Ovis aries: one gene and its partners. Each later gene encodes a partner of the first gene's protein in a complex. Links are inferred from orthologs where the notes say so. Each region holds a gene or a part of one and is shown on either strand. Other genes may lie near its edges. The genes, in order: SMAD7, SMURF1, NEDD4L and SMURF2.

Evidence for each region.
Region 2: the proteins of SMAD7 (region 1) and SMURF1 are in contact, whole or in part, in an NMR structure (PDB 2LTX), measured with the Homo sapiens proteins. The link is inferred for Ovis aries from reciprocal best matches to the Homo sapiens genes SMAD7 and SMURF1. Residues at the interface, in NP_005895.1 of Homo sapiens: Glu203, Glu205, Ser206, Pro207, Pro208, Pro209, Pro210, Tyr211, Ser212, Arg213, Tyr214, Pro215, Asp217; in NP_065162.1 of Homo sapiens: Glu313, Arg315, Ser316, Thr317, Arg321, Tyr323, Val325, Asp326, His327, Arg330, Thr331, Thr332, Phe334, Thr335.
Region 3: the proteins of SMAD7 (region 1) and NEDD4L are in contact, whole or in part, in an NMR structure (PDB 2LTY), measured with the Homo sapiens proteins. The link is inferred for Ovis aries from reciprocal best matches to the Homo sapiens genes SMAD7 and NEDD4L. Residues at the interface, in NP_005895.1 of Homo sapiens: Glu203, Glu205, Ser206, Pro207, Pro208, Pro209, Tyr211, Ser212, Arg213, Tyr214, Pro215, Asp217; in NP_001138439.1 of Homo sapiens: Arg394, Asp396, Lys398, Arg400, Tyr402, Val404, Asn405, His406, Arg409, Thr410, Thr411, Thr412, Trp413.
Region 4: the proteins of SMAD7 (region 1) and SMURF2 are in contact, whole or in part, in an NMR structure (PDB 2LTZ), measured with the Homo sapiens proteins. The link is inferred for Ovis aries from reciprocal best matches to the Homo sapiens genes SMAD7 and SMURF2. Residues at the interface, in NP_005895.1 of Homo sapiens: Glu203, Leu204, Glu205, Ser206, Pro207, Pro208, Pro209, Tyr211, Ser212, Arg213, Tyr214, Pro215, Met216, Asp217; in NP_073576.1 of Homo sapiens: Glu304, Arg306, Asn307, Thr308, Ala309, Thr310, Arg312, Tyr314, Val316, Asp317, His318, Arg321, Thr322, Thr323, Gln324, Phe325, Thr326.

The regions. Positions count from the first base shown.
Region 1 is NC_056076.1:48,951,185-48,957,159, forward strand, and holds the start of SMAD7 (mothers against decapentaplegic homolog 7), read right to left. Parts: upstream 3,486-5,975; 5' UTR 1,892-3,485; coding exon 1,276-1,891; intron 1-1,275. UniProt on the Homo sapiens protein: Antagonist of signaling by TGF-beta (transforming growth factor) type 1 receptor superfamily members; has been shown to inhibit TGF-beta (Transforming growth factor) and activin signaling by associating with their receptors thus preventing SMAD2 access.
Region 2 is NC_056077.1:37,683,154-37,688,408, forward strand, and holds part of SMURF1 (E3 ubiquitin-protein ligase SMURF1), read left to right. Parts: intron 1-3,151; coding exon 3,152-3,266; intron 3,267-4,410; coding exon 4,411-4,589; intron 4,590-5,255. UniProt on the Homo sapiens protein: E3 ubiquitin-protein ligase that acts as a negative regulator of BMP signaling pathway. Mediates ubiquitination and degradation of SMAD1 and SMAD5, 2 receptor-regulated SMADs specific for the BMP pathway.
Region 3 is NC_056076.1:57,867,399-57,872,653, reverse strand, and holds part of NEDD4L (E3 ubiquitin-protein ligase NEDD4-like), read right to left. Parts: exon of another isoform or gene 1,705-5,255; coding exon 1,602-1,704; 3' UTR 1-1,601. UniProt on the Homo sapiens protein: E3 ubiquitin-protein ligase that mediates the polyubiquitination of lysine and cysteine residues on target proteins and is thereby implicated in the regulation of various signaling pathways including autophagy, innate immunity or DNA repair.
Region 4 is NC_056064.1:48,460,588-48,465,842, reverse strand, and holds part of SMURF2 (E3 ubiquitin-protein ligase SMURF2), read left to right. Parts: intron 1-13; coding exon 14-151; intron 152-3,116; coding exon 3,117-3,237; intron 3,238-5,255. UniProt on the Homo sapiens protein: E3 ubiquitin-protein ligase which accepts ubiquitin from an E2 ubiquitin-conjugating enzyme in the form of a thioester and then directly transfers the ubiquitin to targeted substrates.

The DNA of each region.
Region 1 (5,975 bases):
TAACAGAGGCATTCTTTTAGCCCAACTGTTTGTCTTAGCTGTGGGGGTTGGAGGCAGGGCCGCGAGGCGGTGATTGCCTTGATATTTAGCTGTCAGATAAACAAAAGAGGCCGCCTGGCGCCAGCCTCGGCGCGGCGCTCCTCCACGTCTGCGGCCGCCGCCGCCGCGCTCGGCCGGCCCGGCTGCAAACCGCCGGCTCGGCCGCCGCACGTCGCAGTTCACGGGGCGGGGGGCGACGAAGCCCCCCGCCTCACTTCGCGTCCCAGAACTTCAGACCCTGCTCCCTCCGCCCCCCGCCCCGACCCGTCCCCCCGGGGCGCAGTTCATCTCCGCCACCGCCGCTGCGCCCCGCACCCGCGCGGGGATCACGGGCTTCCCCCTTGCCCAGCTCCCTCGGAAGGTGCACCCCAAGGGCGCTGGGGAACTTGGATCGGTGGGCGCCCTAGGTGCACCCCGCCTCCGCACGAAGAGGCAGAGAAAAGGGATGCAAAGGAGAAGGCTGAGAGCATAAAGGAGAAGGGCCCCGGGGTCTCAACGGAGGAGCCCGGGGCCCAACTCAGTAGTCTGGGGGCAAACCATCCGACGGTCGGTTACACTGCTCTCTCTCCTGCGCTGAAGAAAGTAGGGGACACCCAACTTCCCCTGACTGCCTGTTTTCTCTCACCCCGGGCTGGCGGAGCTGGGAGCAGGTACACAGCTCGGCCTCCTATCCTGCTCTCTCTGCCTCAAAACCCAAATCTGCGCCGGCCAGGGCAGGCTTCCTGGCCCCTTGCGCCCGACGTGACGCTCCCCCTTCCTTCCTAAAGGGGAGCCTTCCTCTCCAGCCTTTACTACCGCTTCTCCGAGCCTTCCTTGGCGGGCTTGGATCGAATCCAAATCGGCCACACACCTCAACGCCGCTCTCCGTGCGGGGGAGGCGTGACCCCCCCACACACACACACACTTCTCTCTGCACCCCCTTGGCTGATCCGGAAATAACCCCATGTCTGCAGAATACGGGCATGAATGAGTAGGGCCCAGGGGCAACCCCCCCCCCGCCCTTGGGGCCACCGAGGAGAGAAAACTGGAAGGGAACCCCGAGGGAATGCCTTTCCAGTTTCCTCGGGTCCCTTCTCTACCTTTGTCCCCCAAATCTCCTCCCAGGAGGGAATGTACACACATCCCTCCGGCGAGGTGGCTGCACTAACCCACAGCCCAATCGGGCTTTTCTTCCCCACACCTGAGTGCCGGGAGAAAGGGGGGGCACGGGCGGGTGGGCGTGGATCAACTTCTTACCTAGTTCGCAGAGTCGGCTAAGGTGATGGGGGTTGCAGCACACCAGCTCGGGGTTGATCTTCCCGTAAGATTCACAGCAACACAGCCTCTTGACTTCCGAGGAATGCCTGAGATCCGGCCACCTGAACACTTTGCACAGCAGGAGGGGGAGCGAGTAGGTGGAGGGCGGCTGCGCCGGCTGTGAGCCGGCGGGCGCCCCCAGGCCCAGCCTGCAGTCCAAGCGGCCGGGCAGCAAGAGGCACGCGGTGCGCGTACCGCCGCGGGACTCCACGGCCTGGAGCAGCAGCTCCAGCTGCCGTTCCTTCAGTTTCTTGAGCACCGAGTGCGTGAGCGCTTTCAGATCCGCCTCGCCACCCCCGGCCGCGCCGGCGCCCGCGGCTGGGGGGTGGGGATGGTGGTGACCTTTGGCACCTCGCACCGCCTTGCCCAGGCAGCAGACAGCCCTGCCTGCGCCGCCGCCGCCGCCGGCCCCATGCGCCCGGCCGTCCGTCGCCCCTTCTCCCCGCAGCTCGCCTCCTCCTCCGCCTCCCCCCGCGCCCTCCTCCTCGTCCTCGCCGCCGGGCGCACGGCTCCTCCAGAGACGCCGGACGAGCGCAGATCGTTTGGTCCTGAACATGCGGGGCGAGGAGGCGAGGAGAAAAGTCGTTGGCCGGCTAAGGAGCGAACATGACCTCCGCACACCATGAAGAAGTCGGGCGCCGAGTTGGGGCAGCAGGCGCAGGCGACAGCAGCAGCAGCAGGGGCCCTGGCAGGAGCGGCGGCGGCCCGAGGGGCGCTCCGTGGCATGCGCCAGTCTCCCGGAGGCCGGAGCGCGCGCGGGGGCCCGGGGGCGCCCGCCGGGGCTCGGGGGCCTGCGCTCTGGCTGCCCCACCCCGCGCGGCCCGCGCCGTGCGCCGCTCGCGGGCCCCGGCGCACCCCGGAGGAACGCGGCCGCCGCTTCCCCGGGGGCGGCGAAGCCTACCCGGGTCGGCGCCTCCCCAAAAAGAGGCCCCCCCGCAGTGGCTCCCGAGTGTCGGGCTCGCCAGCCTCGGCTGCCTACATGGAAGATCCGCGGCGGCAAAAAACGAAAGGCGTTCGGCAGGGCTGCTGGAGGGAGGAAAAAGCCTCTTTCCCCCTTGCTAAGCAACTTAATTTGGGGGTGGGGAGAAGCAATTAAAAAAAAAAAGCAGGCACGCGATTTATTTTTTTCCTCTATATCCTTAGTAACCGGATCTCCTTGAATTCCGTGCACACGAAGACTCGGGGGAGGGGGCTGAGTGGACTTCACCCCACATGAGATGTCTGGCGAAATAAGGAGGCTCTCAAAATCTAAGAACCAAACATGCAAAGCCCCAAATGAAAAACACCACCTCCTCGCACCCCGGAGGTCTGGGGGCGTCCGGCTGGAGCTGGGGTTTAAAAAAAGAAAATGTTTACAAAGTAGAACGAGACGTTTCAGGGGTGGAAAAAAAACGTATCCACGAGTTACATCCCCCTTTTTTCCTTGCAGAGCCCCGCTGGTCTTCCTCTCCTTTTCTTCTGCCAAGGAAAAAAAAAATCCTATATATATATTTTTTAATCCACAGAAAGCTTTGGCTAGGCTGCTTCAATCCTTCGCATCTGGGTGGTTTAGGGGAGTCTCTGGCCTTTCCTCTTGCGCTCCCGGGGGCCCCGGTCGTCGGCGGGGACTTCCTTGGGGCTGGCGGGGGCGCAGGGGCAGAAGATGCTGCGGCGGCGGCGGCTGCGCCCCGCGGGGCTGACAGCGCGGGGGAGGGCGGCGCGGCGGCCGCGGCGGGCCCCTGGCGGGCGGCGCGCTCTCGCCCTCTGCTCTCTAGCGCGGGGGCCACCGGCGCCCCCTCCCCGGGTTGCGGCTGGCCGCCGGGGCTCCCCGTAAAAGGCTGCTCGCCCCGACTCGGCTGCGGCGACTGGAGGCCCCGGTTGTCCCTCACGCCGCCTTCTCCGAGAGACTCTCCTCGTCGCGGCCGGGAGCCTCCTTGTCCCCCCGTCCGCCCTCTCCTGGCACTCGGGTCCTTCTGCCGCCGCCCGGGGTTCGCCGCGCCGCACTCAGGGGCTCCTGGGCCGGGCGCTCGGCAGCTCGGCGCCGGCGGGCTGGCTCTCGTCTCGGGCAGCTCTCTCCGGCGCGGCGAGCGGACCGAGCACGGCGCCCGGCTGGCTCGGCTGGCGCGGCTCGGGGACAGGCTCCTCCGTGCGCGGAGCAGGCGAGCGAGTGTGCCCGGGGCTCGCCGCCTCCCGCAAGGCCTCCCGCCCCCGCCCCCTTCCCTCCCCCTTCCTCCCCCTTCCCTCCCCCGCCCCCCAGCCGCCGCCGCCTCCTCCCCGCCCCCCCCCCCCCCCCCCGGGCCCTCTGCTCTGCTGGTTCCACTGCGCAGTGGCGCGCCCGGCTCCGGCCTCGTCACGTGGCCGTCTAGACACCCTGTCGCTTTAAAAAAAAAAAAAGCGATTGTGTTTCGCAAACAACAGATCGGGTTTCTAAAAGCTATTTCTCCCCCCCCCCCACCCCGCTCACCAAATCCCCGCCACCGCCACCCGCCTGGGTCTGCAGAGGGGGGACCGATATGGGGCGGGAGCGGGGGTGGATAAAGGTGGGGAGCAGAGAAGCTCCCGGGGTTGACGGAGACCTGGCGAAATCAGAGGAGAAATGGGAAGACCCAAGAGCACCGATCGGGCACCGCCGGCGAGTTTTGGAGCGAAGCGAGCGGGCCGGTGGCCGGATTTAGACCCAGCCCGCGGAGCCTCGCGGGGGCTGTCCCGCGCGCGCTCGCTCTAACGCTTCATTCATTCGTTTTGTTTTAAAGGCCCTGGCGACGGATCCCCTGGCCGCCGCGCGGGAGGGAAGGGGGAGGAGAGCGCTGTCTCCGCGTAAAAGACATTTACACCGGACTGGACCGAGGCCCTGGGAAGTGCGCGCTGGAGGGAACAGCCGGCCCGCGAGGGCGGGGAGGCGGCGCGAATGTGACCTCAGCGGCGGCCGCGCGCTCCCTCCCGCCCTCTCCCGCTCGGGGCTCGGGTTTCTAGGACTGCCTGGAGAAGTGTGTCTTGTGCAAAGCTCTGGAATGCATTTGGCTGCCTGACGAGTTGCGAGGGGCAGCATCTTGGCGGGAGGTGGCGGGGGTGTGTGTGGGGGTGCTCGCCCGCCCGCCGCGGGCAGGTTTCCTCCGGAGCCCGGAAGACCTCCGCCACTCCGCCTCCCGGCGCGGGAAGGTTACCTTCCGAGGAGACCTGCATGCATATGCATGCGGGGCCTGTTTCTTCCCCTCCTCGGCCCCGTAGCTTTCTGTGGCGCTTAGAGTCAGTGAGTTTATCCCCTTACCCCAGGCCATAGAGAAAGCGTAGACCCACCTGGCCGACTGGTGCATAGACACGCTAAGGCGTTGATGGGGCAAAGCACCAGATAGCGTTTACTTCGTGAAAGCTGTTGGTGCTGAGAAGCGTCATGATTTAAATATATAAGCGTTAGTATCGACGAGGCCACTAGTTGGCATGGTGGTCTAACCTCACATCTTATTCAATGAAATAATAAATATATTTTTTTAAGTCATTTAGAATTGTGAGGTCAGGATGACAATCAAACTCACTGGGGATTTTAATGACTTTTTTTTTTTTAATGAATCTTTTAAAAAAGGTGAAATGAACTGTTTTCATTTTCTCAGCTAAATTATGCCCCTTTTAAAGGAAAAGGCACCAAAAAAGGGAAAACGTAATAAAAGGAAAAGGCACTGATGAACCTCAACTCAGCCCCTTCCCTTCCAGCAACTTAAAAGCCATCTACATGCTATAGATGCTTAATAACTATTTAGGAACCAACAGAGTTGGATAGGTATTTCCACCTTCTCCCCCTACCCCAACCCACCAAGAGCACCTTTGGAGATATATTATGTGGTAATATAATATTATATAATATATAAGGGAGAAAATCATTATCATCTCTAAGCAAGGGGCCCTGAAGCTCATTGACCTAGAAGAGCCAGAAATGCCAAGCAGGGCAGAAAGGTGTACAACAGGGCAGCAGCTGGGATTCTAAACATTTACTTTGTAAGCCACATAGCTGCAATTGTATAAGATCATAGTTTAGTTACAGTTAAAAATAGTGCTGGGCTTCCCTGGTGGTCCAGTGGCTAAGACTCCATGCCTCAATGCAGGAGGCCTACGATCGATCCCTACCCAGGGAACTGGATCCAACATGCCTCAACTAAGAGTTTGCTTGCCAGGATTGAAAGATCCCACGTGCAGGATCTAACACCCAGTGCATAAATATTTTTTTTAATATATTGCTTATTGAAAAGGGCATTGAAACCTGTGTATGTGTGTGAAACTTTCTGAACAAGCAACCTACAAAGATAGCAGCCGAGAAAGCCCAGGAAAAAATGGGTTATCCCACCATCATAGGCTAAAGAGGTAGAAATGGGATTTTGGAGGTATCTGAGAAATGATACACTCACCTCAGAAAGGCTTAGAAAGAATGCCAAACTAGAAGTCAGAAAACCTGATTCCTGCCTGGGACTCTGCCATGCGTGTGTGCTCAGTCGTGCCTAACTCTTTGTGACCCCATGGATTGTAGCCCGCCAGGTTCCTCTGTCCATGGGATTTCCCAAGCAAGAATACTGGAGTAGCTTGCCATTTCCTCCTCCAGGGGCTCTTCCTGTCCCAGGGATCGAACTCACATCTCCTGGTCTCCTGCACTGGCAGGTGGATTCTTTACCACT
Region 2 (5,255 bases), on another chromosome or scaffold:
TTGCAACTGTGCACGATGTGTTTCCGCCTTTATTTTTCTGTTGTCCACGAGAGACACTGTCTCTTGGCCTCTCTTTTTCATAAGAGAAGGATATCGATGCTCCTGACTTTCCCTTCCTTCCACTTGTTACCTCTTGCATTCCAGTATCTGTAGTATAACTTTTACAGAGTCAAGGCCAAAGATTTACATTTTGTTCTGTAACCAAAATTAAGTCAGTCTCCTGTGCCTATGTATTATTTGTAAGAGTCGAAAGTCAATACATTGTTTTATATTATTATGAAAGTGTAAATATTGTTTCCTGAGGGATTAAGTGGTATGCTATCATTTATTTTATCCTTTTGAGCAAATTTTAATTTTTCTAAGAATTTCTTCTTTTAAACCAGGTCTTGTCTTTGTTGCTCCATTGAATATCGCCTTTGGCCAATTCCCCCCTCCCATCCTCTCTTGTGGAGGCCCTGTCCCCTGACACGGTTTCTTCAGACCTTCTGCATAGCTGTCTTCGTGGGACATCACTGCTTTCTTGGGTTGGAGCCATTGTTGTGTGGGTCTCACGGCTACTTATTCCTTGGCTTACTCCCTTGTGTTATTGGGGTATATCCTCAAGTAGGTTTCTTAGAAAGGGTGTGTGTGGGGTTAATTTTCCAAGATCTTAGGTCTGAAAATGTCTTATAATCTTTGCTTTGATAGCTTGGCTTCTTATAGACTTCTAGAAAGAAAATCATTTTCAGTCAGAACTCTGAATTTGCTCTCCCGGGTCACTGTCTGATGCGAGTCTGGTTTCAGTCACTTTTGTGCCGTTTGTCCCCATCCGGGAACACCCGTCATCCATAGATGCTGTACCTTTTTCCCGTTTTTCTCTCCCACTCCTGTCTTCAAGGCCTCCTTGCCCGTATCCACCGTCCTGCTCACTCCTCCCACCCCCTCCTCACTTCCTTGCTCCTCTTTCGGCTTGCTGTCACTCACTGGCAGAACCCCAGTTCTGAAGCATCCCATCCCCTCTCTGACAAGGTTACGAGTCAGAGAATCACCAGTGACTGCGAACCTCAACTCTGGTAGGTGCTGCAAGGGGCCTGGTTAACATGCAGTCGTGTGTGACAGTGGTCCCATCTTGGGGGTCATGGGACGGGAGAGCCTCCCACCCTCACAGTTTAGAATACACAAGCAGATTCTCACCCCTGCAGCAGTCAGCACCAGCAAAATTAGGTTCTGAGAAGTGATATGGGGGTCTCACTACGTCTCTGGGTGAAGTTGGGATCTTTTCCAGCTGCCAAAAGTAAGTAAATGGGGCCGGGAACAGAATTGGTCCTCCAGCCTCTTCCCATCGTGTCCGCCTCTCTCCCCTCCTGCCCCTCCGTCTGGGATACAGGTTGAGCCCGGGCCTTCCTGACCACATGCTCACACTGCAACTGCCTCTCCTCGGGAGGTGCTTTTTCTTTCCCGATCGTCCCAGGTTTCTTCTTTGATCTTCTCCATATTGATTCTAGAAAGCATCTTTCTTCTGGCAAATGTAACTTTCGTCTGCCCTGAAAACATGAGTCCCATTCCTAACAAGACAAGGGCTCTAGGCTTTCCGTCCCTCTCTTCAGGGAGACTTCTGTTTCCTCGTTCATGTTTGTCCGAAATTCATGCCACACTACTTCCATTCTCTCTCCTCTGCCTTTTTCTTTCTAGTCTCGGGATGTCTCAAGAGTCAGTATCTTGAATGGTTTCACTTTACATTGTTCCGTGTATAGCTGGGTGAAGTTTGATTTGGAAGGAGTTCGCTTTCTCTACTGTTTTCCATGGTTATGAAGTCTTGCAGGTGGAGATGAGTGTTGGTGTAGCTGCCTTGATGAACATGGTGCTGCAGGGAAAGAGCTGAGAAGCCCTGCTTTTCTGCCGCTAGTCTGATCTCCCACTTTTTCAGCTCTCGAGTCTTCCCCGTGTCTGAATGGTCCATACCTGTCGCGGAGGGCTGAGATGTCAGTTACCTGTGTGTTACACGTGCGTGTATGTCTGCTTCTTTGCCCTGCCTCTGGGTCTGAACCTTTATCCTCTCTCTCTCTCTTCTGACTCTGGGGATAGCGCTTCCTTGACCACTTCTGGAACTTTTCTCGTGCTCTATACCTCGTCCACAGCTCAGTCGGAATGTTTGCTTGTATTTTAATCACTTCCTGTCTAGACAGTTGCAGGTCCTTGGCGTTTATGAAAATAATTCTTTGTAAATCCAAACTCTGAAACTTGGGGCTGAACGAAGCTCGAGTTGGGAAGTCCTGCCTTCCTAATAAAGAGGCTTCCTAAGGCTCGGCGTCTCGTTTCTGACAGTTCCTTCCTGTTGGAGTTCGATATGTCACTTTGTGTTGGTGTGATCATTTTGTGGGTATTTCCACGCGCTTCTCCGACAGATTATCTGCATTTGGGCTTATCCTTCCATATTTTCTCACTTCTGTGTTTTTCTATTTCAAAGAGTAAGAAATTTTAGAACTTAATAAGATTCGTCTATTTAAAGAAGTTTTGAGTAGAAAGAAGACAGGGTTACACACGTGTTTATATAAGACTGCATACCTGGGTTTACCAAACCTGACCACAGCAACTGAGTCACGTTTTCTGTTTAGAGTGCTTTTTTTTTGTTTGGTTTTAATTTGGGCCTTTTAAAAATTAAAATATTTATTTGGCTCTGTGGGTCTTGGTTTCTGCACATGGGGGTCTGTGATCTTTCATCATGGCATGTGAACTCTGAGTTTCATCACGTGGGATATAGTCTCCTGACCAGGGACTGAGCCCGGGCCCCTGCATCGGGAGTACGGATTCTTAGCCATTGGACCACCAGGGAAGTTCCATTGTCACCTGAGATTTTGCCTCTACAAAGTAGCAGAGAAAACCTTCCCTGGGGAAAGGCAGGCTGACAGACACCGTGCCTCTGAGCTGGTGATGATTCCCAGCAGCCAGAGATAGTTCTCAACTTCGGAGTTGCTGAAATTTTGATTTTCTGGTACCGCTAGAAGCAGTTGTTTCCTTCTTGAAGCCTATTTGCCCAGTCCGTACCAATCACCTTTTCTCAGAGCCAGGCAGCCTTATGAGTTTGGCTTCCAAGGGCATGGTCCATCAGTCCCGTGATGAAGATCTAAAACTAGGGGGTTTTAACATGTCTTCTTGTTGTTGTGCTTTCTAGGGAGTGGCTTTATTTACTGTGCCATGAAATGTTGAATCCGTACTATGGACTCTTCCAGTACTCCACAGACAACATTTACATGTTGCAAATCAACCCAGATTCTTCAATCAACCCTGTAAGTATTAATGAATATGGAGGTCAGAAATTAAGTTGGAGAATTTAAGTGGCTTTCCAGTTTCAACCTCAATTCTTGGTTTATTCATTGTAGACCTACTCAAAGTCTGTGGCAAATAAAATATGGAAAGGTAGACTGACAGCGGGATCAGGGATGGATGGTTTCCACCCCTTCTCTTCAGTGACTGGGGTCACTGAGTATGTTGTTTCAAAGACAACGAGTGAAACTGAGCTGCTCGTGGACTCAAAGCATTTTACTGCCATTTGAGGGAACTCTGGCTTGATGGCTGTATTTGTTGATAGTGTCATTCTGAGAAGTGGGGTACGAGGTCCGTCCTCCGCCCAGCCAGAACTGGAATATTCCCTTCTGTAACTGGCCTTTTTGGCCAGCGTGCTGATACTCTTAGCTGCTCGTCATAGCAATGAGGAAATAGGAGCAGAATGTGGCCGAGGGGTGGCCCACAGCGAGCGGAGGGCTCTGCTGCGGGGTCACGTCCTGTGGTCCCCACCGTGCACGTGGCTCTGAGGGGCAGTCAGTGCGACTTTCACCAGTGTGGACACTCTGTAATTCCAACCTAAGAGTAGAAACGGGGGTTCCCTGGTTACAAACCACAACAGCACTGGTTTTGGGTTGTGTGCCCCGCTCAGTCCCTTCTCTGGATTTTTCTCTCTTCTGCTTTCCTGTGGGATGGGGGAGGGATGGCAGAGGAAGAAGGGGGCTGCCTTTCGCCTTTATTTGCTCGTGGCACGCCGGGAGGAGAGGCCGGCGGCCTCCTGGGTGTGCCAGCACCAGGCGCTGCGCTGAGAAGGGGCAGCTCGTGGTTGACGCTTTGCCTTCGTCATGTTGAAATTCTCCGTTTCTGAATAAGAGGTTCTGCATTTTCATTTTGCACTGGGCCCCATAAATTCAATAGCAGTTTGGAGAAGGTATTTGAACCAAGGGCACATGAAGTGTCATTCAGATGACCTCTCCAGAGTCCTGCTCTCATGTGACCTTTGACCAGGTGGGTCCTGAGCGCAGCCTGTGAATCACTGATTCAGCTTCCTGCCTGTGGGACGGGTCTCCTGAGAAGCCTGGAGAAACACCCCTGTCCACCCGGCCGGTCAGCTTCCTAACACTTAGTGTTCTCTGCTGCCCCCTGCAGGACCACTTGTCTTACTTCCATTTTGTGGGTCGGATCATGGGTCTGGCTGTGTTCCACGGACACTACATCAATGGGGGTTTCACGGTTCCTTTCTACAAGCAGCTACTGGGGAAGCCCATCCAGCTTTCTGATTTGGAATCGGTGGACCCTGAACTCCATAAGAGCTTAGTGTGGATTCTGTAAGTACCGACTCAGGGAACTGAAAATTCACGCGTCACCTGTCTTAGGGTGCACCAGACCCATGGCTGTGAGACTGCAGGAGAGAAGCAAACCCCCAGAGACAGAGAAGCTGGTCTGAGGAAAATATCTAATTGACTTACGACCTCCTACACTGTTTGACCAGCTACTCTTCAGGGACCAGTTTCTTTTGTTGTTTCCTTGAATTATTAGGTTACAATTGTGGCTGTTAATCCCCAGGCCTGGTGGTTTGTTTTTTTTAACACTCTGAGGTGTCTCATGGTCTCTAGAGTGACCAAGTGAAATGAAGTGAAAGTCACTCAGTCTTATTTGACTTTTTGCGACCCCATGGGCTGTATAGACCATGGAATTCTCCAGTCCAGAATACTGGATGGGGTATCCTTTCCCTTCTCCGGGGGATCTTCCCAATCCAGAGATCGAACCCAGGTCTCCTGCATTGCAGGTGGATTCTTTACCAGCTGAGCCACCAGGGAAGCCCCTAGAGGGACCAGGAAGTTATCAAAAAAGTCCTGATATTCAGTCGCCTTTGTTTTAAGATTATCCTAAAACTCTTAGAAGCAACAGGCACAACTACACGGTCACTGTGGATGTCGGGGGTCCTCTTGAATGGGCTGATTTCACAGGAATGGGAGGTCTAGCTCCTTCCA
Region 3 (5,255 bases), about 8.9 Mb from region 1:
ATCCTAAGTGGAGGCCCTGAAACCACAGTTCTTTTGGTCTCATCCACAACTGGCAAGCAATCTATCCAGTTTCCCTGGACGGCCGCCACAGGGCTTAGGACAACACAGGTTAAGAAGGACAGAAGGGTCTGCTAGACCCCCTAGCCCTGCCTCAGGCGTCCCCTCAAAACACAGTTCTGCAGCGAGGACTCGAGAGTGGCCACAAACACGAATCCCGCAGAGCTCTCCACCCCCCGCAGGGTCAGCTGGAGAGCCAGACATCCGGATGCCAAATCAGGTCTCTCCACCCTTTTAATCTAGCACGCGACGGATACAGCGCGGGCAGAGCACGGTATGGAAGCATGCAACAGGTCATCGGGAACAAAACCTGGTTAGATTGTCTAGTAATCTTTGCAGTGGAGTAGAAATCACAAAACGCTTGGTGAGGACAGGCCTCCAGGCTCAGCTTTACAGCCAGGGTTTAGACACCAGCAGCCAGATTCACAACCGATAGATACTGCACCGGAAAGGCGTGTGCAGAGAGAAGAAATCACATTCAATGCTATGATTAAAAAACAAAACCAAAACAAAACCAGGCATGACCTCCATGTGGTACATAAAGTGCCTTCAGAACTGGTGCAGTTAGAACAGAAGTTGCGTGTTCAGCTACTGTTCGCAAACGCGCACAGGCAGGAGGTTGCACAGGCCTGCTCTCCCGTCACTCGGTGCCAAGTTCCATTCGAGCGTCTCGACTACAACAGCGAGGAGGAGAATATGACAGGAGGGCTGTACAGCATCGGGAAGGGTTAAGTAGCTTCTCTTCGAGAAGTCATAGTCCAACCCTGCCTCAAACGTGCTCCAGCACACGTAGTTACTTCTAAGGAATAATGGTGTGATTCCTTCAAGTCAACACAAATTTTGTCATGCTATGTTACAATTCTCTCAGTCTGCAGCTATTACGCTAAATTTGAACAAAAAAATGTAATATCCAGTTTTCATTCTGAGCATGGAAAAAACTGTCATGATGGCTAATGTTAAGAGTATTTGTCTGCAGAAGGATTCTGGACAGAAGTCAGTCTTCCATAGCTAATCCTGTAGGGGGTGGGGCTTTCCAAGTACTTTAAAAATAAAAACATCACCGACATTAAACCTGGTATGAAATTCAAATACAAAAAAAAAAAATATGCTCACTTTTCCAAGTACATGAGACATCTTTAATTGTGAAATAAAATCTGCAAATCGGCCTAAATCATTTTAAAAAGTAAACATGAGTTGTAATACTATACCTGTAGAGTGATTAATTCCATTCGCTGTCATTATAAAGTATGGAAAATATTTATTAAGGGCTTGGCCTACAGAGGCACAACATAAATAGAATAAGTCCTCCTGAAATGTAATCAGTATACACATCAACCAGTTGGAAATTGGTGGTGGGAAATGCAGGAACGCGACCCGGGACGGGGTCTCCCTGTCGGCCGTGGGCAAGTCGGGGGCAGGGGCTCCGCTCTCCGGGACCCCTCGCCGCGCTGCTCTCTGCCAGCGTCTCTGCAGAGTCTGTCAGGCAAATGCAAAAGTGCAAGCAGGACTTGCTCGAAGAACAACCGCCCTGAGGCAGGGGGCACTTAATCCACCCCCTCGAATCCCTGGGCATTTTCCACAGCCATGAGAAGCTTCTCTCGTAAATCTTCGAAGGTTTCATACGGAGGTAAGTCAAGGCGATTAAAGCTGCAAAAGTAACAACAAAGCGGAGGTAAAACACCAGCATTTCTGTCTGTGAGCTACACCCGGGTCTCCTCGATCTGGCTTAAGAGCGCACGTGGTGTGTTTGAGCGGGAGGATTGTAAAAGCCTCGGCACAAAAATTATAATCCAGTGATGACCCTGCCCACACCACACACCTGCAGGGGACGAGAAAAGGATTTCCGAATCGTCTGTGAAACCTCTCTACTACAGTCGGACGTGCACCCTAGAAGCGCGTGCTGGGAAGGGAAGAGAACAGGCAAGGTAACTGGTGCACACGCTGAGGCTTCCAAGCTGGAAACCCAAGGGCTTTCCGCAGCAGGGCAAAAGGAGGCTCTCTGATGCTCTCCCTCATCTGACACTATTTTAGGAAGCCAGCGCTTCTGCACGCAGCGCCAGTTTTCAGCACAGCCCCTTTGAGAGGGTGATGTTTCCCCGTTTTGCAGATGCGGGCCCTGCAGCCGGGCGGCAGGTCGCCGTGTCCCAGCCTCAGCCCTGACCACACCGCAGACCTGAGACCGGAACCCAGGCCCCCGTGGCTCTGGGGCCCCGACGTGGAGCGGCCCTCTACCCAGAGGCAGGCAAGTCACTGGCGTCGGCGTGAAGAGCTGCCTTTACACAAAACCCCTCCACAGCTGGAGGCCTTGGCCGGGGGGGTACAAGTCACCCTGGTGACGGTGAGACCTCCAGACACACGGGGCCTCTGTGAGCAATGATCACACGTGTTCACAGGACGGAGTTCAGATCCTGTCTCTGCCACCTGCCAGCCGGGTGATCTCAGGCCAGTCACTTCCCTCTCTGTTGGCTCTTCTGTGACGTGGGGAGACTGCCGCAGGGTCAGGTGCTGGGAGGGTCCGATCACACACATAAAGGGGTCTGGCACACAGTGAGCGCCCACGGGCAGACACCACTGTCACCACTCACTCGCCGGTCCCTGCACCACCCCCCCCCACGCACCCCTCACGCCCCAGGAACAGGGACCTGGAGCCCCAGACACAGACCAGGGAGGCGGGCTGCTGGCAGGCCTCTGTCGTGACAATGGCTACATGCGCTTGTGGCTTGTTAGCACATGTGTGCATGCGTGCACACACACGTGCACGCCTTAGCTCATTATGCTTTCATAAGCTGACATTTGTGGAGCATTTGCCCCGCGCCAGCACTGTTAGTGCTGAGTGAGTGCAAGTCGCTCAGCTGTGTCTGACTCTCTGCGACCCCATGGACTAGACAGTCCATGGCATTCTCCAGGCCAGAATACTGGAGTGGGTTGCCTTTCCCTTCTCCAGGGGATCTTCCCCGCCCAGGAACTGAACCCTGCACTGCAGGTGGAGTCTTCACCAGCTGAGCCACCAGGGAAGCCCAGGAATACTGGAGCGGGGAGCCTGTCCCTTCTCCAGCGGATCTTCCGCTCCCAGGAACTGGATCCAGGTCTCCTGCACCGCAGGTGGAGTCTTCACCAGCTGAGCCACCAGGGAAGCCCAAGAATACTGGAGCGGGGAGCCTGTGCCTTCTCCAGCGATCTTCCCCTCCCAGGAACTGGACCTGCGTCTCCTGTGTGGCAGGTGGAGTCTTCACCAGCTGTTGCCACCAGGGTGCTGTTCCTTGATCCCCTCAGCGAATCCTGGCGCCCACCTGTAAGGTAGGTGATGCCGCATCCCTACTTGTAGAGGAACCCAAGGCACAGAGAGGTTAGGGAACTTGCCCAAGGTCACCCAGTAAGTGGGAGAGCCCAGATTCAGCCCCAGGCTGGCTCCAAGGCCCGGATATGGTCAGGCTGCCTCAGTGTCTAAGACTGCGCGCTCTCGGCACTGGCATAGGTTTCCAAGGATGAGCAGAGCATCTTCCTGTGTTTTAAAGCCAATCATTGTCAGCAGTAAGACCCGGACGCATGAGCAGGGTGGGCCCTTTAACAACCACTGAGTATTTGATAAGACACACTGAGCTCTGAGATTTTTTAACATCAAAATACACAGCAGAGCAGAACACTGTGCCTCCCAAACCAGAGGGCTCAGGAATCCTGAAAGATTAAGATGGAAAGAAGTTTTCAACGTTTGGTTTTCACCGTGATAACGACCTCCAATGTCATTTCACCAGCGACAAAGACAAAACCCCACTCTGCAGCTACACTTAAAAGAGCCTTTTACCAGGAGGCAGCTGTTGTCTTGATTTTAAGCTGGTATTTCACAGTCCAGGGCCTGCAATCCTGAGGGGCTTCAAGAGTCTGTGGCCATTTTAAAGAAGGTCCATAGATTATTCAAGCTTGAGAAATACTGGCATGATGAGGGGAGTGTGAAGAGCTGAGGTTTGGGATGTTGTCAGCTCTCAGGGCGTCAGTTGCTCCACTGCTTAGAGGGGACTCTCAGGACCTGCCTCTTAGAACTGCTGTGACGGTGTCACAGGTTCACACACACGGCGCTTGTAAGGGCGATGCCTGGAGCACAGTGAGTGCTCAGCGTTGCCATTTTTTCTGATGTCAGGAGAAGGTCTGGCTCTGGCCTGCCACCAACCAGCTGCACGGCCTTCTTACCCTCAGGGGGTAAGCCTTGTTTGGAAGATGTGTGGGCTGAAGGAGATTATTTTTAGGTGGGTCTGTGCTGCTTAGTAAAGAGGAATTTTAACTATATGAGCAGTGACCTTTGATAGAACAAAGGAAAGAAGCCGCTTCATGCTAGATATGCCACAATTATATGTCAAAGAACCAGCTCCGCCAAGCCCTCGCTCTCCTAGTAAATCAGGTTTTAATCTTGACGCTTCACTGTGTATTTTGTATTTTCATCCAACATGGAAGAGATTAAACACATATGGCTAGATTTTATTTAGCCACATCTATGGTTGTCGCGGGGAAGTCTGTTCACAGCGTACCAAGAATGAAGCATGGTTGTTGTGTTTCTGTTTCAGCAGAAGCCGGGGCTGGGTGGGAGGAGAGCCACAGCAGAGAAAAAAAGAGGAACTCCCACGCCATCAGCCCCGGGTTGTCAGCAGAACTAGCACCTTCCTCGGGGCCTGGGGAGAGCGGCCTGGGAGAAGGCCACGGACGCTCTCCTCCTGGGACACTTGATGAGCAGCGGGGCTGCCTTCCTCCCAGGGTTGGCCTCTGTCCTTCCAGAAGATGAGCAGCAATTTTGAACCCTGCCTGTCCTCGCCAACCACCCGGGCGGCTCTGCAATCCCATGGCCCTGGTCGTATCAGACCAACTGGGTCCAAACCTCCGTGAGTGGGACCCCAGGGCCAGTGTTTGTATTTAATGCTTTCTAGGGGGTTCCAATGTCCAGCCAAGGTCGAGAGACACCGAGTCAGCGCCTTGTCTGGGCAGCCCTGTATTTTAGTGGTGGCTCAGCACGCGAGACAGAAGCGTTCAACGGCAAGATATCTGTCTGTGGGTTAACAGTAGGATGTGGGATGAGTGCTCAATTACTTGGTTGTCTTCGAAGAGTCTGGAAAGAAAGGGAACCATATTCCCGTGGCAGCAGCTTAACTCTAGTGGTCAGTGTGGAGATTCTAATTCGGACAGACCTGACTTCAAGCTCTGAGATTCGGGAG
Region 4 (5,255 bases), on another chromosome or scaffold:
TCTTCCTTTCTAGCGAGAATGATACCACAGGTGTTTTGGACCACACCTTCTGTGTCGAACATAATGCCTATGGTGAAATCATTCAGCATGAACTTAAACCAAATGGCAAGAGCATCCCTGTTACTGAAGAAAATAAAAAAGAATATGTCAGGTAAACACTTGTATCTTCTTAAGCCTGAGACTTGTTTTAATGTTCTAGAATGGTACAGAAAAACATTGATGCTTAGATAATGTTACTTACTGCCACAGAATAGGCTTCTGCAGAATTAAGTGGCTTAAAAACAACCACCATTTTATTATTTTTCATGGTCTCGTGGGTCAGTTACTTGGATCGAGGACGACAGGGATAGCACACTGCTCCTCCGCGTGGTGTCAGCTGGGGCGGAAATGTTCCGATGGCCTCTTCACTCACATGTCTGATGTTTCACCTGGGGTGGCTTGGCTGGCTGGGTGCTGCCTGGAGTGGACACTGGGTCACCATCTGGCACCTGGTTCTCACTGTTGGCTGGGCTCCTTGGTTATCCCATGTGGTCTCAGAGGCCTGGCTCTTCAGCACGGTAGCCAGACTTCTTATCGGATGGCTGGTTTCCCAGAGCACAGGAGGAGGAGTTGTGGGATCTTTTAAAGTCCCAAGGCTGGAATTGGCCAACATCACCTCTGCTGTATTCTTTTGGTTAAAGCGAGTTGCACACCAGCCCAGGTTCAGTTGAAAGAGGGGCTGTACAAAGGCACTAATTTCAGGAAACACGGTTTGCCATGTCATGTGTGGTGGAGCTCCCACAGCTAGCTGTGCAGAAGCACTTTTGTGCTATATTACTAGGACTTAATCCTACTTATAAACAAAGATGTTGTGGGTTTATATAAGAAATACATGTTTTCAATAGAAATCTAATTTATGAAAATAGAAATATATTTGATATATATTAAATATAAATATAGTAGAAATATTTATTAAAGAAATATAGATTATATAAGAAGTACTATATTTCTTGTTAAAAAAATCAAGAAAATGTTCAGGTTTTACAAAATCACCTGTTGATTGAGGAATCTAGAAGTATTAAGTGAGATCATTTGGCTCATGGTATATAAAGTTTTTCTAAGCATTAAACTATGATTGAATTTAGGAGTGTGAACTTCACCATATGTACACAGAAGTGTGCTTGCTGTCCTTTTTTGCACAGAATATGTCCTCAGGTCTTACTGGCTGAAATGTTTTGGTTTATGGATGAGGCCCATCAGTCTCGTAGCCTGTGAACACTGGTAGAGCTTTGTTGGAAAACAATTTGAAAACACCTGCCAAAATGAAAATGCATATGCAGCTCCATTCTTAGGGATCTATTGTTTGGAAACACATTTGTAATTAAAGAAATACAAGGCTGTTTAAACCTGAAAACTGCAAAATGTTTGTAGAAGAGGATGATGAATATAACAGAATATTGTGTGGCTATTTTAAAAAAGAGATTCTGCATAAGCTGTCACTTAAAAAGCATGTCTTGGAACAAAGTCTGTATTGTTTTATTCTCATACAGAAGATGTTCAGGAAGACCCCTTACCCAATAAAATGTTGCCTAGGGTAGGGGAGTGGAAGTGATAGGCCTGGAAGTAGAGACGAAAGAGGGTAAGAGAGGGGACTTTCGGGTTTTACTCTGTCTCCACATTTAATGGTTGAGTTTTAAATTATGACTTCTCTTTTAATAACAAACACATTTGTAACTTAATGAGGAACTTCCCCATGGTCCAGTGGTTAGCACTCCATGCTTCCACGGCAGGGGGCATGGGTTTGAAGTTTGATCTCTGGATGGGTAACTAAGATTACGCATGTCAAGCAGTGTGGCCCCCACCCCCCCCCAAAATACACACACACATATATAACAATTAAAAAATAAAATAATAAAGAAGAGTGAATGGGGATTTCCTGAAGGTCAGTAGTGTCACTCCCAGGATCTAGAGTAGACTGCTCTCTCCAGGATCCAGTCTTGTTTATAGCACACAGTAATTATTCCTTGGGGCTTCCCAGATGGCTCCATGGTAAAAAATCTACCTGCAGCGCAGGAGACGTGGGTTCAGTCTCCGGGTCAGGTCCCCTGGAGAAGGAAGCCCGGGGAATCTCATGCACAGAGGAACCTGGCGGGCTGCAGCCCAGGGGGTGGCAAGAGAGTCTGACACGACTACCACCGATTATCCCTTATCAGATAGTTTTGAAATTTTAAAAATTACAAAGAAAAACTTTTTACAGGTATGCAGTTTTGATGTGCCCTTAAACAAGGAAAAATGAGGTCCCCCAAGGGATACAGTTAATATTAAGTAACTCATTTCTTAGAGAATTATTTCTCCGAAGTTTGGGAAAGGAAATCCTGACAAATTGGGAGTTTGAGTAGTTCTGAGGTTTGTGAGGTACGTTTTCCCGGGAAGATAGATTAAAAAAAAAAACAAACAATTCATGTAGAAAGTGTAAGTCCAAACAAAGCCGCGAGTACAGCTACACATGCGATGGAGTTTTGTGAACTTTGTTGCTAAATTACATCTCCCAGGGCTTTTAAAGCCTATAGGGGAAAACGAGTGGTCAGAAAGTGCTGGCCTAGTGGCTTTTACTGTTTCTTCTCGTTTTGGATATGAGGATTCTCTTCACTCCCCCTTCCCCCATATACAACACACAAAATATAAAGAAAACACCCAACATGTTCAGATTGTATTTTCAAGTGAAATCAGAAAAAGTCATTTTCGGTTGAATGGGCTTTTTTTTTTCTGGTTATTGGCATGCATGCTAGAAGCTAAGAAAATAATTTCATTTAGATTTTAACTTCAGACCCATCTGCTCTCCAGCCAACTTCCAGTTTAATAGGAGTTTTTCTGAAGTGAAGAGTTGCTGTAGCGATGCTGCTTTTGTTAGTGGAAGGTTACTGTTTTTTAATTTATACTGCTTATAATTTATGCTGAACTGCCTCCCTGCTGAGGATCCATCTCCCTTCGGTAATATGAGATTCTTTTAGATTTTAGACTAAATTCTTAATGCCAGATACTTGTGAAGTGCAGTGTTGCTAATGTACTAGAGATTCATAGTAATTACCAAATCTGAATACATTTCATCATACAAAACCCCTGTCCAATGTTTCCAGGCTTTACGTGAACTGGAGATTTTTACGAGGCATTGAAGCACAATTCTTGGCCCTGCAGAAAGGATTCAATGAAGTAATTCCACAGCATCTGCTGAAGACATTTGATGAGAAGGAGTTAGAGGTCAGTGTATGAGTATCATGACGTCATCTATATAACAAAGCACGGTTGAGAGGTTTCTGTTACTTAGTTTTAGAGGAGTTGTATTTCTGGTGCTTTTGAAGTTTTTCTACGTGTTGCTGTGAGAATTCTGACTCATAGGAAAAGCCGTTCATGTTTTGGAAATTCTGCAAGTAGTCTCTTATATTGTGACTATCCTTTATTTTTCCTTATTTTCTGTTCTTTTAACAGATTTGTGTATTTTGTGTATATTCTCCCAGTGTTATTTCCTATTCTTTAATTAAATGGCTCTTGATTTAGTTAAGTGAAACTTTATCAGTTGGTCTCCACCATAGTGCAGTTTATTTGGAATAAAAACCTAGACCCAAGTGGATTTACGTTAAGCTTTACAAGAAAGCAGTTGATAGACAAAAACCTAGAGGGAACATTCAGGATCATCTCTATCTAAACAAGAACCCACCTGCAATGCAGGAGACCTAGGTTCGATCCCTGGATTGGGAAGATCCCCTGGAGAAGGGAAAGGCTAACCACTCCAGTGTTCTGGCCTGGAGAATTCCATGGAGTACCGTCCATGGGGTTGCAAAGAACTGGACATGACTGAGCGACTTTCCACACTATCTGAACATCTTCAGTCTCCTTGGAAATTTTCATTACTAATACAGACTTTAATAACCAGTTAACCATTGTTTTATTTTAAAGCTAGTCCTTAAAGCACCATAGGTTTAGTTTTATAATTAAGACTTTTAACAAATACATCTGAATTGCTACTGAACTGCTTTGAAAAGTAATGAGATTTTATTCTGCTTGAGGTCCCAAAATTTAATTAGTGCCTAGGGATAGCATAAATATTGGATGTCTATCCATAATTTAAAACATGATTTTATTAATTAACTTTAGTGTCCTTTCTAACTAAATCTGTTAACAGATCTGTTAGACAAACCTAAAAAGATTGGTTTGACTCAATACCACCCCCACTCTTTTCGTGACTGAGCTGTTCATAGTGAAATGGCCAGAAGGAAGTAGGAGGAGGAGTGAGACACAGCAGAAATGACAATAAGGTTGAAATACGATGCATTTTTTTGTGTTCATATAATAAATAAGGAACTTGGCCTTAAAGTTACCACTCCTCTGAAGAAAGGAATTTTGAGAGGTAGAGTCGCTATTATAAGTACTTCTGTAATTCTGTTTGGATAACCACTTACCTGTTCATGTAGCTGTGATTATTTTTCAGAACCCTGTAGAAGCTCTGTTGCAGATTTTATTCAATAATGTTAGCGTTTATTATATAATTTCTACTGCTAATGAAAGTAAGCTTTTCAGAAGAAATATGTATATATATATAAAATTTATTTTAGTGTTATCCTGGGTTATTATAATTAATTGTAAACTATGGGATTTGCAGGTTAAATTATGTTCTGTACTACACACTATCATAAGTCAGTGTTATACACAGGTTAGTAAGATGACTCTGTCTTGGCCCCTAAGGAGGTGTATTAATCGGATCAAAGTGATTTTGACACATCACTTATACTGAGCCTGCATCAGATGCCAAGCAGAGCTCTGTGACAGTGCGTTCATATATTTTGTACTTTGGTCCAACTTTAAACAGACTGTACCACTTACTCAACACAATTTCTTGAATGCCCATGCACTATTGGTTGCTTTCAGAGGATATAATGAAACAGATATTACTGCCTTATTACTGCAGAGGAAACTGTGGCCAAGGGAAGTGAGCAGAACTGCCCAGAATGCCAAAGCTAATAAAGGTTGAAATTGGAATAGTAGATACAGGTCTTAAGGAAGGCATATGTAAGCTGTATTTACTCTAAATCTAGTTTCTGATCATTAACATTTTTTTAGAATTCTACTGTGAGATTATGGAACTTCTCATCTTGTCATGTCCATCACTGTGGTTCTCAGATCCTGGGTAGGGAACCTGCAGTGTGTAGGTACTCATGGAGCTTTTAAAAAATACAGATCCTAATTCACCCCAGATTCACAGCATTAAAATATGAGCATAG